Drosophila melanogaster: one gene and its partner. The gene in region 1 interacts genetically with each later gene. Each region holds a gene or a part of one and is shown in the gene's direction. Other genes may lie near its edges.

Region 1 (7,615 bases):
TAACAATGTCTCAATTGTCTTTGCGATTTATTTGTTTATTTGTTATGAGTACAACTTACAAGTATTCATTTCCTTAACTAAAGCCTCTTACTCAATGAACGCCAATAAATATTACTTTTACAAGTAAAAATATTATAAAGTTTATGATTTTTAAACACAAATTTCTTGTTTTTCTGGTGTAAACCTTAGAATATTACACCTTTTGCCAGTTGTAATTTAGAACCACTGGCGCCACCTGTGGGCCACACTTGTCTCTTTTTCAAAGCAGAGCAGAAGGGCAAAATGCTGACCTTAATATGCATTAATTGTTGCAGCAGAGCGATTCTAATGCGCTCACTCTCATTTTCCGACTCCCAATCGCTCTCTCTCTCTCTCTCGCCCCCTTTCTCTCGTTCTCTTTCTCCAGCGGGTTTCTTTCTCCGCTCCCCCACTCTGTGCATTTTCCATTTACGTGCTTTATGCTTTTTTTGGAGCAGCGCGCTGTTTCCATTTCGATCCCAATTACTGTTGTTGTTGTTGTTGTTGTGGCCTCTTTGTTGGTGTGGGGGATCTTTTGTTTTGTTTGTTTGTCCTTCTCTAATTGTGGAACCTGTGCGTGTGTGTGTTTTTAGAGATGGCACGTCAACGGGAATTTTGGTGGGTGGTGGGGGCATGTTAAATCAATACTGATTAACTGGGATTACATTGGGGAGCATTGAAACTCCCACTTTAATATGAATATTTATAGGAGCATTGAGTTTGCAGCTAAAGCTATGTATCTAAATTGCTCCAAAAAAGAAACCTTTGAAAACAATGAATGCATTCGAACATAAAATCAACTTAATATTCATATGAACCTATTGTATTTTTAGCTATTCTACACGTTAATTACACTACCTTATAAAATAGAACATAATCTTAAATTTAAAGTTTTGCTAATTTATGTATTTGTACAATGTACTTTCATATTTATGCCATTTATAGGAGATTTTTCCGCAATAAAATGATCACAGAAACTCTTAAAAGTTCTTCCTAAAAACTTATGAAATTCTTTGTTCCTGTGCAATTTAAGATATTTAGATTTAGATTTAGAGTTTGGGCAAAATGAATTCTAAATATTTGAAATTGTATATGGAAGGTATTCTATAATATTTTGGCATAAGTATATATATTTAGATTTGACCGATTAACTCAAATGATTCAGCCTCGTGACACGAAAAGTTCCACCCGCCACTCAATCCGCAGTGCAAGTAACTAAGCAAATGCGATATGTGTGTGCTTAAATGCATATAGCATGTTTATGGGTCTGCCGAATGGGGTTTTTCGAATGGAGTAGGGTGCGTTTGTGGGTTTTGTGGCGGGGGGAAAGGGGGGATGGGTATTTCGGTGGCCTATGTGCGCCTATAATTATAAGGCATATACACTATATACATATGTACATGGGCATAGCATAGCTGCGTGTTTTTCGTCGGGTAAATAGGTGCACACGTCAATTGCTGGAACGACCTCAATGGGTTCCCACTTCCAGGCCCCCCCTTCCACGGCCCACATTCGTTTGATTTTTCCGCACTGGAAAGTGGGAAAACCGGAGCAATTATTTCCCGATCCGATCATGCTACAATTATGTATGTTTAATTTTTTTTTTTTGCTGCTGATGTTGTGTTTCACTATTCACCATTCCATTGCCGTGGAGCTAGAACATGCAATTATTTTAATGTATTCGGCCTTGGGACTCATGAATGTCAATTGGCACGTAAGTTCTCCATTAGCTATTAGCTTTTACCCGCGGCTCCACGCATCCAAATGCAAATCTCTATATGTATATATAGATATGTACCTAAATGTGTACATACAAACTCATATGGTTTACGCTGCAAATCAGTCGTTTTGTATGCTAGCTTCGTTTTTTTTATGGTTTTTTATGGGGGCTAGGCGACTCCCACCCACTCGCACATATTTATACAAATTGAGACAGCGGAAAAAGTGCAACTCATTTGAATGGTTTCGCCTTCATTATGCAAATACGAGCACTGTTGGTGGCGAATATTTATTTGCTCATTATAAATACATAGAGTTTCTGGCATTTTAGCAATCATGACTTGCACGCACACGAGCATTAAACGAGTTTCTAAAATTCAGTGTAATGATCGAGTTTTATGGGACTATTGCATTCGAATTTGAACTGAGTGGGCGCCAACATATCGATAATATATAATGACAGTCGATATTTTCATAGCAACCAGCTTTCGCTGGGCTCGCTGCGCAACTAGGTGGCAGCTCTGAAATGTATATTACATGTAAGAAATCCTTTTACAAACTCAATAAATAATAATAAATGCTTGAAATAAATGTATATTTCAATACTTCTAAAGCATTTTATATATTATGTTTTTATTGGTATTACGGAAAACCTCCAACTTTCAATTTTAAAGCATTATATTTATAAATAAAATAATTCTACAAGCAAAAAAACTCATTTAATCCTGGAAGCACTTATGGATTTCACATTATAAAAGAACTGATTAAATGTATGAAGATACATCATTTTATTAACGTACATTTTGTAATATTTAATTTTTTGAATTTTCAGTTTCTGCGCGCCCATATCAAAGTCCGTAGCAAAAAAATCAATATAGGAAATGCAATAGGTGCAAGCGGGACGACCAGCTGAATCGAGCGGCGAAGCAAAGAAGACCCGATAAGGCGATGCCACCTAGTTAGAAACTAATAAGTAGTTGCATAAATAATACAGTTTTTTACACAATAGAAAATCCAAATGAGTTCTCACTCAATTTTAAAGCAAGTTATCTACTATTTGGAAACACTACCCAAGTAGTTTTCAGCCTTTGAGCACCTTTTGCTACATTTTAGCACCTTGCGGCGATCTGGCAGCGCCACACGAAAATGGCGAACACGAGCACTCCGATGAACGACGAGCTGAAAAAATAATTATTATTTTAAATTCCGTTTTGCCAGCGAAATTCGGTGCGTGCGCGAAAAAGAGTGCGGAAAAGCGCGGTTGAGAAATTTAATCGGCCCATTATGAAGCGGTCAAAGTGCGGCGCCAATGCAAATGGTTAGCCAAATGGCAAGAAATATGTAGCGATAGCGTGCCAGCCCAGTAAAATCAAATAGAATCAAATTTAAGTTTCTTGCTTTGCGAATTATGAAAAACCAATCGCAATGCGTGTGTGTGTGTGTACGTGTGGTGCGTGCGCGCGTGTGTTAGTGAGCGAGCGTAGAAGCAGAAGGCGTAGCGAGAAATAAAAATAAAAAACCATACAATAATTGATTTAAAAAAAAGAAAAGCAAAAAGGCCAACAAACGAAAAACAGCAGAAGCAACAAAAACACACGACAAGCGGCAGCAAAAACAACAACACAAAACTGGCGGTAAATACGCATACAGTACGATACAAAAAAATAAACTAGAAGCAACAACAAATACGCAACGTAACGGGAACTCTTTGACGTATTTCCTCTATTATTATGCAAAAAGGCAGGCGGCAAATTGCAGCAGCAGCGAAAATCAAATATAAATAGCGAAAAGGTAAGGACAGAGGCCCCACAAACTAAACTAAAAATAAGAGCCGAACATATTTGTTGTTTGCAGAGTGCAGTAAAATGGGTGCAAATAAATGGGCAAAAGAAAGAAGCAACAAAATACTGCAAACCTTTCAATTGGCTTCAATTGGCAAATGTAATTGTTCAGCATTACATTTGCATTACACCGCTCACCAACTCTTGCTCCCTCTCACTCTCTCTCTCACTGTGTTCTCCGCTTTTGCGCTCCCTTTGCCCCTTTTACTTTGCAAAGTTTTGCGACGAACAAGAACAATAATAATCAAAACAAAAATGTTTAAAATCCATTTTCTTTCGCCTCTCCTTCACCCACTCACTCATTTCGTAGCGCGCTGTCATTTGTCTTGCGCCTTTGCCTCCCCCCCTCTTCTTCTTCTTCTTCTACTTTACGTTGTCCCCTTCTTCTCTCTCTCCCCGCAACATTGCCGTCTCGCTCGCTCGCATGCACACCATGCACGGGTGAAGAGGAGACGTAACGAAAACGAAGTTGGTTTGCCTGGAATGCCACAGTGGGTACAAAAGGGTTTGATAGTGGTCACAGTCGACACAGTGGGGTGGGTATTTCATTATTCTGCAACAGAAACTCTTGTTATTCTTATTAAGTCAAGCAAAACTAGCAAAAATAAACATTTCTAGCCGGCTAAAAAAAAACTCAAAATCCAATCCAAAATCCAATAAATATTTAGTACAAAGTGCAAGATTGCTAATAAAATAAACCAAAAGTATAGCACTTACTTTTTGTAGGAGATGAAGGTTGTTAAAAGCATTCATATATAATTAATACGAATAAATTTATTTTATTTAAGTTCTAAATTATACGTACTTATCATTTTATATAAAGATTTACATTGCCTTATGCAGTGATGTTACAATCATCAATGTAGATCTTATAAGAATCAATAGGCCGTCCGTAGGTCGGGTAGGGTGTAGAAACATAAAGTGCAGTGAGGAAATATTAAAGGGCAAGAAAAAGTGAAAAAGCAATAGCACAAACATACAAAAAACACGAACACACATTATCCATTTGCCAAATAAACATGCACAAAGTAAGAGAAAGACGGGGAAAATGCAGAAGAAGAGGCTCCAAAAGGCGGCAAATCGCTGCATGTGTGTGTGTGAGCGAGAAGGCAACAATGGGACGAACAATATAAAAAAAAAAAAACGTGGAATTGGTCTAGTAATGTAAGAAGAAGAGCAGTAACAACGCGGACGAACGGACCGCATAATGCGCGTTTAATGATAAGTCTCTCTGTCCGAAACGAAGAGAGAGACATGGAGAGAGCGCGGCTGAGAGGCCCGCCGATTTTCGAGTGGGTGGCAACACCTAGTCTTCCTCTTTCTTTCACACCTTTTCTTGCCGCCGTTTTGTTTTGATTGCGAGTCTTCTGCGAAATGAAATGCAAATACAGTGGAGCAGCCTTAAGCTCGTAAACTTTTACATATACAATAAATGCAAATAATTTAAAATAAAACAAGTTTGGAAAATGCAACTATAAATTTTCTTATTATTTTTCTTAATTTGACTTCGAAATTTGTAAACAAAGATAGATTTCGAATAAATCAAATCAAAAACATCTCTTTGAGTATCCACTGTGGCAACTGTAACTTTGTAATAAAGAAATCCCTTGAAAATCTGACTTATTGTTCGGCATAAAATTGTGGTTGCATTTTAGCCTCCGCATTGGAAGTTGCAAGCAAAAGTTGGCATCTCCTCTCTGTCCGCCTCTTCGTCGCTCCATTGCCTCCCATTTTATTTGCACGGCAAGTTGCCTCCTCGAGCATCCTTTCAGCATTCCTATTATTCTTTTTTATGTTCCTTCCTTTTTTTTTTTGACAATGCCCCAACTAGCAAAAACAACTTGCAGGCACCAATACGTGCCATTGAAAACGAGAAAGGGAATTTAATCCGAAAAACACTGATTTCAGATACTCTAACTGCTACTTGGGGATTTTGTTTGAATGTTAATTAATTTAAAAACTAGTAGTAAATGGAAAAATGTAGTGTAAAAAGAGCGTTTTATTTGAAAATACCATTTATTTTGTTGTAAACATGTGACCATACTATGATACCCTTTTAAAAGGGCATACAAAAATGAAGTTTCACTGAAAACTGGTTTCAGTTTCGGTTTTCTTCCTTCTGGCCTGGCCCAACATTTTACATGAAAATGTGCAAAACAAAACCATTCCGGCGGTGCTAAAAACCACGCGACATGACCAGCACTAAATAAAGTTAAAATAGTAACTATTCGTTGAGCTCATAAGCTTTAAAAAAAAAGGTAACTTATGTTCGAAAATAAAACAAAATAAATTAGCTTGAATGGAATGTTCATTCATATACAAGTAATTTTGATTCTCTTCGGTAATCATATTCATTGGATTATTTTTACTCTAAACAGATTGGGAAAGCATACTAAATTGTTTTTGGTGGGTTAAACTTAAGTTAAATAGGCTGCTACAGAAAACCTTCTAGGGATAGAAACTAATAAGTTTGTTTTGAAAATCAGGACTTCAAATGCATTAGCATATTGTGATCTAAATCTCTTGAAAGTGCTAAAGTCTCGGTTCAAAAGTAATTAAAAATTGTTCTTCAATTCATACGAACTTGAATGAAAACGTTTTTAGTTTTATTATTCTTATAGAGTTATCAAAATAGAGAGTTGAAGGGAACTTAATACTTCAAGAACTTAAAAACTATTTTTATGTTAGCTGTTCAGGGTGCTACAATCGTTAATTACCATATTTCCCATAGGGCATTTACAATTCGACCTGCATAGCCTGATAGCCATTGACTATTCCTCCTACCTGTCTTCGGCATAGTTTATCCACCCCCCACCCCCCTGCCCGCCACCTCCCACTTTGCGTCTTATTCCCTGTAACTCGTTGTAAGGCGCTGTAAGGCTCTCGAACACAATGGACCGACTGGCTGCAACTCCTTTTGTGGCATCTTCAACATGTGGTTGGTGGTGGTTCAGTTGCATCGGGAACGGCAATTCGCCAAGAACTCAGATAGGAGGATGCAGCCAGTTGTCCTTAAAGTCTCTGTATTGATTGATGATTTGCCATTGCAACTCCTCGAGTGAACCGCATTAAATTGATGATTTTCTTCGGCTTTTCCCGCAGTATACTGGAGTATACACACATTTCCGCAGCGTGTTGAGCACGCCACAAGCATAAACAAAAGTGAGCAACAGGAATTCAGCTAGGATTCGGCGTGAAACGAATACGAAAAACCATACGAAATGGCAGCGGTTCGAGGACATCAGTATTTCAGTCTGCGCTGGAATAACTACCAGAACACGATGACGTCCGTGTTTCAGCAGCTGCGCGAGGATCTCTCCTTTGTGGACGTCACTCTGTCCTGCGAGCATGGATCCCTCAAGGCGCACAAGGTGAAGTATCTCGATATATGTATCTACACTATAGTTATGAAGCTAATCAAACTTTTGTTCAAAAACTCCAGGTCGTCCTGTCCGCCTGTTCGACGTATTTCCAAAAACTACTGCTCGAGAATCCGTGCAAACATCCCACAATTATCCTTCCCGCCGACATTATCTTCACCGACCTGAAAACGATCATCGATTTTGTTTATCGTGGTGAAATCGACGTCACCGAATCGGAATTACAGGTGAGTCGATATACTAGTTGTTAGTTTTTGCAGGTGATTCTAAAATAGATTTATCATTGTAAGAACGATATAATAGAGAATATATATAGAAATACAAAGGAATTTCATCTGAAATCGGAAGTATCTGATGTACGAGTATAATTATCTAGATTTTCATGTTTATATTTTATCATATCTTTCCAAATGTGTTGCCATAAAATGGGTTTAATTAGGCGGAAGTATTTATTTATATATTTCTCGCAATTGAAAGGTGTCGATATGTGAATGTTTCTGTTTTGCGGATAAGTTAACTGTATTATGAGACTATTTTTGAAATCTTTATTCCTATCTCTAATACCCGTTAATCTTTATATTTCGTAAAAACCCGAATGAAATGAAAATACACGATTATGAATAGGCGTAAAATCGAGCATATCTAGATTTATATATC
Region 2 (6,557 bases), on another chromosome or scaffold:
ACGTTCGTAAGTGCGCTACATTGTTTAGGTTTTAATATTAAACGCACTCCCATTAAAGTTATTAAAATTAAAATTTAAAACAATAAACTAAACATTTACAAGTAAAAAGTGAAATATTTTAAAGACGAAAGTTGTATTATTTTTTAGAAATATATTTCATATATTTAATAAATATATCACTTCGCTTTTGTGATTTGTCAGTATAATAATCCTTTGGAATATATAATCTTTTGGTAAATATATATATTATTTCATTATCTGATTATTGACTAGTATAGACCACAGTTGCTAGTATTCCTACTTATGTCTATCATGGCTACATATATAGTGTTTAATCATGTTTTCCAGATAACAAGTGTTCGATTGCCAAGAAACCATCCCATTTCTTAGCCATTCATGGCTTCTTATCTATAAGACGTTTATTATAGATTCGGATTCTGCATGACTAGACTTTTGAAACTTAAAAATATCCATGTGATTTTTTAAATGTAATAAAACCAGAAACATAAAGGCGTCAAATTAATTGTTATGCATTTCGTTTATTTAAAAATAAAGATAATCAAGCTTAGTAGTAAGCAACGCCGGAGTTGTCGCGGATCCAGTCCAGCTGGTTGGTAACACGGGTGAATCCGGAGGGCAGGCCAGCGGTGCAACCGTTGCCGGAAACCCAGGAGGTGACACCCACCAGGCGGCCACCGTCGTGGAGAACCAGGGGGCCACCGGAGTCACCGGAGCAGGTGGACTTTCCGCCGGAGGTGGACACACAGAGGATGCCATCGGGCTGGGTGCCGTAGGTGCGGGAGCATTCCGAGTTGCTAATGATCTGCAGGTCGACGCACTCCATCCAATCGGGCTGGGATCCGGCGGTGGTCAGTCCCCAACCGCAGGCGACGGCCCAATAGTTGTCGTACATGTTGTAGCGATCGTTGAAGCTGGGCAGCTCCACCTTGTTAACCATGTGCCAGAAGTCCACGTGGGGGGTGCGGATCAAGGCGATGTCGTTGCCGTTCTGGTTGGGCCAGTTGTGGTTCTGGATGAAGTCGCCGCTGCCGACGGTGTGGGTGAACTGGGCGTTGGTGCGCCAGGTGGCTCCGTAGTAGATGGTCACCTGGGAGGCGCCGTTGGTGCAGTGAGCAGCAGTCAGGACCCAATCGTGGGCGATGATAGAACCACCGCACCACCAGCCGCCGTTGCCGCTGAAGCCCAGACCCACGGTGTAGGGAGCCTTGCCCTCGTAGGCTGGATATCCGTTCACAATGCGGCCATTGATCTTGGTGTCCTTGGGCAGGTCCTTGGGATGAACCTGCTGGACAGTCTCGGCGGAGACAGCGGCCAAAGCCAGAGCCAGTACAACGAACACTTTCATGGTGATTGGATCAATCGTGGTCTGCGCCAGACTTCCATCCGTTTTTATTGCGCCCCTTATCGCTGTCTGGAGTAGCCCCCACTCGGCGTTATCCTATCTCTAAGAAATTCGCCCTCTGATACCAATGGAAATTAATTGATAGCACGTCTAAGAACATCTTGATAGGCAAAAAAAATAATAACTCGCTTTTAGGAAAAATTCTAAGCTGATTATCTTCGCTTACAACCGACGTAGGCAATATAAGAAAACAGAAATGATTTTAATTTAATTTAAGGACTAAATAATTTATACATAATATATACATAATAATGTATACATAGAGTATGTAAAATGTAAAAATAATTTAAAATAGGCGCCCAATGTAAGATGTAAGGATTGAAAAATGGCTCACCTGGTCACACAGAGCCATGCATTTATTGTTTATATATTCCGCCAAATTTTATCAATTGATGTCGCAGCATGTCCACTTGCAGTTCATCCGAGATAGCGGAGAAGAAGCGCATTGCGCTGGCCAAATTGCAGGCCAAGAAATCCCAGCTGCTGGCCAGCGCACCCGCAACCAATGGAAAATCAACAACGTCTGCAACAGGTGCGACGCAACATGCGAATAATGGAAAATCAAATCCCAATCAACCGCAGGCCAAATCCCCATTGAATTTCTACCGATCACCGACGGGGGAGCAGAAGAAGATCAACAGGAGCGGTCCCACGCCCGGTGACAACAAGAGCTCATCCTTTCTGAACGCTCTGAAAGCAATCAAACAGACATCCAACCGGGAATTGTCCCGCGGAGCAGCACATCCTTACCAGCGGCCAAATGGAGGGAACGAAAGAAACAAGCCCACTCTTTCACTGAGTTCGGATAAGGAGAAACCGGTGGCTGTGCTACTCGGAAACTCCATCACGTGTAATCTCTACTTGATCAGCACACATCGGTTTGCTGCCCAAACCTCAGGATATCACGAACAGCTCGTGACCGTGTTCAAGAACATGCCCACCAAGTGCTACGATGGCCAAACCCGTATCTGGAGTTTCGATCTGTCGGACTACCAATCCCTGAAAACTCATGCAGCGGATCTAAAGCCATATGTTCACATGAATGGCATTCCGAAGAAGGTGCTGGATCTCTGCGGCCAGCCGCCAGTAGTTCCGGAAAGAAGTGTTTTAGCTTCCATAGAACCGAAGCTGGCGGACCAGCTAATGCCCTTCCAACAGGATGGGGTATGGTAAGCATTGCTTGTATGCTATGTACTTCCAAAAGCGCTAAATTTATCATATGTTTAGCTTTGCCATAGCCCAAAAGGGACGCATTATGATCTGTGATGAAATGGGCCTGGGCAAAACCTATCAGGCCTTGGCCGTAGCCGACTATTTCAAGGATGATTGGCCCTTGCTTGTCTGCACCACCGCTTCTACGAGAGACAGTTGGGCGAAACACATAATGGATCTACTGCCGAAGGTGCCCATCCACTATGTCCAGGTGCTGAACAACAATCAGCTATATGTGGGTGAGGCCAAGGTGCTAATCACCAGCTACAATATGATGGAGCGACACGAAGATAAGCTGATGCAGCGGAAGTTTGGTTTCATCATCTTCGACGAGTCGCACACGCTGAAGAACAGCAAGGCCAAGTGCACGACAACGGCCAAAAGACTCACGGATCAGGCGAAGCGGGTGGTTTTGCTATCCGGCACACCGGCTCTCTCCCGGCCATTGGAACTTTTTACGCAACTGCAAATGATTGATGGCAAATTCATGAATTTCATGGAGTTCAGTATGTCAAGAATGTCTGTTTACCTTAGAACGCGCTTATATCGATTAACACATTCACAGCTACTCGTTATTGTGATGGAAAGCAGTCAACTTTTGGTTGGGATGCCAATGGTCAATCGAATTTGGAGGAACTGAAGGTCATACTTCACCTTAAATATATGCTGAGGCGAACGAAAGTGGAGGTGCTGCCTCAACTCGCTGAGAAGAACCGGTGGGTTGTTCACATTGTTGTATATCTATAATATATTTTCTAACATTTCGAACATTCTTCCATCCGCAGTGAGACTGTCGTCCTGGATCCCGCCCTAGTGTGGACCAATGCGGAGACCAAGGAAACCTTGGATGCGTTTAACAAAGAGCTTAAAACCGCTAAAGGCAGGGCAACGGAAGAGATCTTACTCCGTTTCTATGCACGCACTGCCGAAGTGAAAACTCGAGCGGTCTGGTAATAAAAAAAATCATTAAAACCATATAAACCATCTGAAGTTAATGTATTATCCTGCATTATAGCGCCTACCTAAAAACCTTAGTTAAGGAGCAGAAAAAGTTCATTATCTTTGCCCACCATCGTGTCATGATGGACGCCATTAGCGACTTCCTCAGTGGATTGAAAGTACACTACATACGTATTGATGGACAAACGCGTAGCGATCACAGGTCGGATTCTGTGGACACGTTCCAAAAGAAGAGCAGTTGTAAGGTGGCCCTGCTCTCCCTAAAAGCCTGCAATTCAGGAATAACGCTAACTGCAGCTGAGATCATAGTGTTCGCTGAACTGGACTGGAATCCTAGCGTAAGCTTCGCTTATATGTTAACTTGGAGAACGCTTAAATTTAGTTTTATTTTATGTGCAGACTCTTGCCCAGGCGGAGAGCCGTGCCCATCGCATTGGTCAGACAAAACCGGTGATTTGTCGCTATCTGATTGCTCACAATACGGCAGACGATATAATCTGGAACATGCTGAAAAATAAGCAAGAGGTGCTTAGTAAAGTGGGCATCTTTGCCGAAAATCTTCAGAAAGCAACACACACAGCAGCACCCACTTCAGTAAGATACATTTTGAATACTTTGAAAAATGTATTTTTCGCTAACTCAACTTTTTTTTTAGTCCCACAAGATCGAGGAGTACTTCTCGCCCTCCACGTCCACCTCCCTTGAACCGGAAAGGAATAGCATAAAACAATATTTTTCAACTATTCCAGCTAAAGAGCCGCCTGAGCAAAATAATAATACAGAAATGACCAAAGTAAACAAGGCTGAGTCGGATATCGCGGCGTTCTTTAACGATGATGATGATGAGGCTTTTTTGGAATTAGATATTTAGATTGTGTAATGGAATTTAATCCTAGAATGTTTATTGAGTTAATCGTAATAAATTGTATTTGAGAATGTTATAGCATTGAATGAAACTTGTTGAACGCACTTCTGCGCATGCTCCACGTTTGCAGAACTCTTTTCAGATAGCCGGTTTCATGTGACCTGGCAACAGGCAAACAAACACTCAAGTAAACCTTTTCACTTGTATCAAATAAATAAATACACAGCAAGTTAAGTTTTGTACAATAATAGCTAAATAATATGGATACTACGCAGGAATCTGATCTGCTGGGCGAAGAGGAGGAGTTGGAGAATGAGAACGACGTATCCTTTCCGCGTGATATCGTCAGTGTAGAGTGAGTACGGAATTGGAAGTTGATAACTTTTTCTTGATTGGAAAACTTCTGCTGCAGACACTCCTTTGGTTACGATTGTAAGAAGCTGTTTAATTTGGTCCTTGTGGATTCAGACACGCTGGTTTTTGCCTCTGGAAACTTCCTCAACTACTTTAGCATTTCGCGCCAGGAGATTTCCTTTCAGGAAACGGTCTACGGCTGCGGAGTGGGCTTTATAACGGTGAGCTTTTTAGTACCTTTGAGTACCTTTGTATGATCTAATGGTACTCCATTGCCAGAAAAACGAGCATCCTGACTACACCAACCTCTTTACGGTGGGCGAGAACGGAGCTCGTCCCACTGTCTTTATCTACGAGTATCCATCGCTTAATGTCCGTGTTAAGCTACTGAATGCAGCTCAGAATTGTTTTACGGCGGGCTCCTACAACAAGACGGGGGAATTGTTCGCCTCGCAGGCTGGCTATCCGGATTTCATCATAACTATCTGGCGTTGGGAGAACGCTGAGGTTGTCCTGCGTGCCAAGTCCTTTCAGAGCGACATTCTGTTCGTGCACTTTTCGGAGCACAATCCCATCCTGCTCTGCTCTTCCGGGCTTAGCCACATCAAGTTCTGGAAGATGGCCAACACCTTTACCGGCCTGAAGCTGAAAGGAGATCTGGGTCGCTTTGGCAAGACGGACTTCAGCGATATCTATGCCATGTACATGCTGCAGGATGAGAATGTGATCTCTGGCAGCGATTGGGGCAACATGCTGCTCTGGCAGGCGGGGCTCATAAAGTTCGAGATCTGCCGGAAGGGTCGAAAACCGTGCCACACCAAACCGATTACGAGGATAACCATGAAGAACGGTGAGGTGACGACGGTGGGCATGGACGGTTATGTGCGCGTTTGGTACTGGGAAACGGTCGACTTGGCCGATCCGCCAGAGGACGATTTGTTTGTAGAGATCGATCCGATCTACGAGTTCAAGATAGCCGACGTGGAGCTTCGTTGCATGCAGAAGATACATCCCTTTGATGAGTCCGATTTCACCCACTACGCCCAGGATGGTAACGGTGGCATATGGTTCTGCGACATTAACACCTACGACGTTCCTCAAAAACCGAGAAAGCTCTACTCCTGCATTGGCGGAAAGGTACTGGCAGCCCAGATGTCTCCAGTATCGCCCCATTTCCTCTGCATGTCGGAGAGCGGAAAGCTGTTCGTTTACCAATACGATGAACAGCGTCTGATCCTGGAGAAAGAGTTCCCGGCGGAGGGAGTCGATGTGATCTGGCTGGATACGAATATCTCTGTGAAGGGAACCGAGCTGGTGGCTGCCTTCAAGGATGGTATTCTGCGGCAAATGTATCTCGACCTGAGCAACGGGGAAAGGCCCAAGATGACTCGCGTAAGAGCCTTCAAGGCGCACACATCGCCGATTACTGCACTCACTGTAAGCCGGAACAGCTCATTACTCCTGACCGGCAGCGCCGACAAGAGCATATTCATTTACCAATTGAGCCGGGATGAGCATCAGATGGTGGACATGCGTCCGCTGGGATTTGTGCAGTTTGCAGCTATTCCGAACTGCTTCTACTGGCACGAAACGGAACCCACCGTCGTTCTGGTTGGTTGCAAGAGTGGTGACCTGTACGAGTACAACATCCGCACAGAGGTCACCGATCACGAGACCTACCTGTCCTATAACATAACAGAAAACTCGCGCATGCGCCACACGAAGTTCGCTTCCATTAAGAGC

What was found.
Region 2: of psq (region 1) and Marcal1, changing one suppresses a phenotype caused by changing the other (phenotypic suppression), as found in Drosophila melanogaster (one study listed by BioGRID).

The regions. Positions count from the first base shown.
Region 1 is NT_033778.4:10,555,006-10,562,620, forward strand, and holds the start of psq (pipsqueak), read left to right. Parts: upstream 1-2,882; 5' UTR 2,883-3,371; exon of another isoform or gene 3,372-3,528; intron 3,529-6,680; 5' UTR 6,681-6,799; coding exon 6,800-6,949; intron 6,950-7,020; coding exon 7,021-7,185; intron 7,186-7,615.
Region 2 is NT_033779.5:4,953,758-4,960,314, forward strand, and holds Marcal1 (Marcal1), read left to right. Parts: upstream 1-1,751; 5' UTR 1,752-1,825; coding exon 1,826-2,592; intron 2,593-2,650; coding exon 2,651-3,141; intron 3,142-3,200; coding exon 3,201-3,351; intron 3,352-3,420; coding exon 3,421-3,585; intron 3,586-3,650; coding exon 3,651-3,933; intron 3,934-3,994; coding exon 3,995-4,189; intron 4,190-4,250; coding exon 4,251-4,466; 3' UTR 4,467-4,535; downstream 4,536-6,557. Other genes in the region: Jon25Bi (jonah 25Bi), read right to left, coding at 566-1,366; CG34124 (uncharacterized protein), read left to right, coding at 4,721-4,815, 4,873-5,035, 5,094-6,557. UniProt on the Drosophila melanogaster protein: ATP-dependent annealing helicase that catalyzes the rewinding of the stably unwound DNA.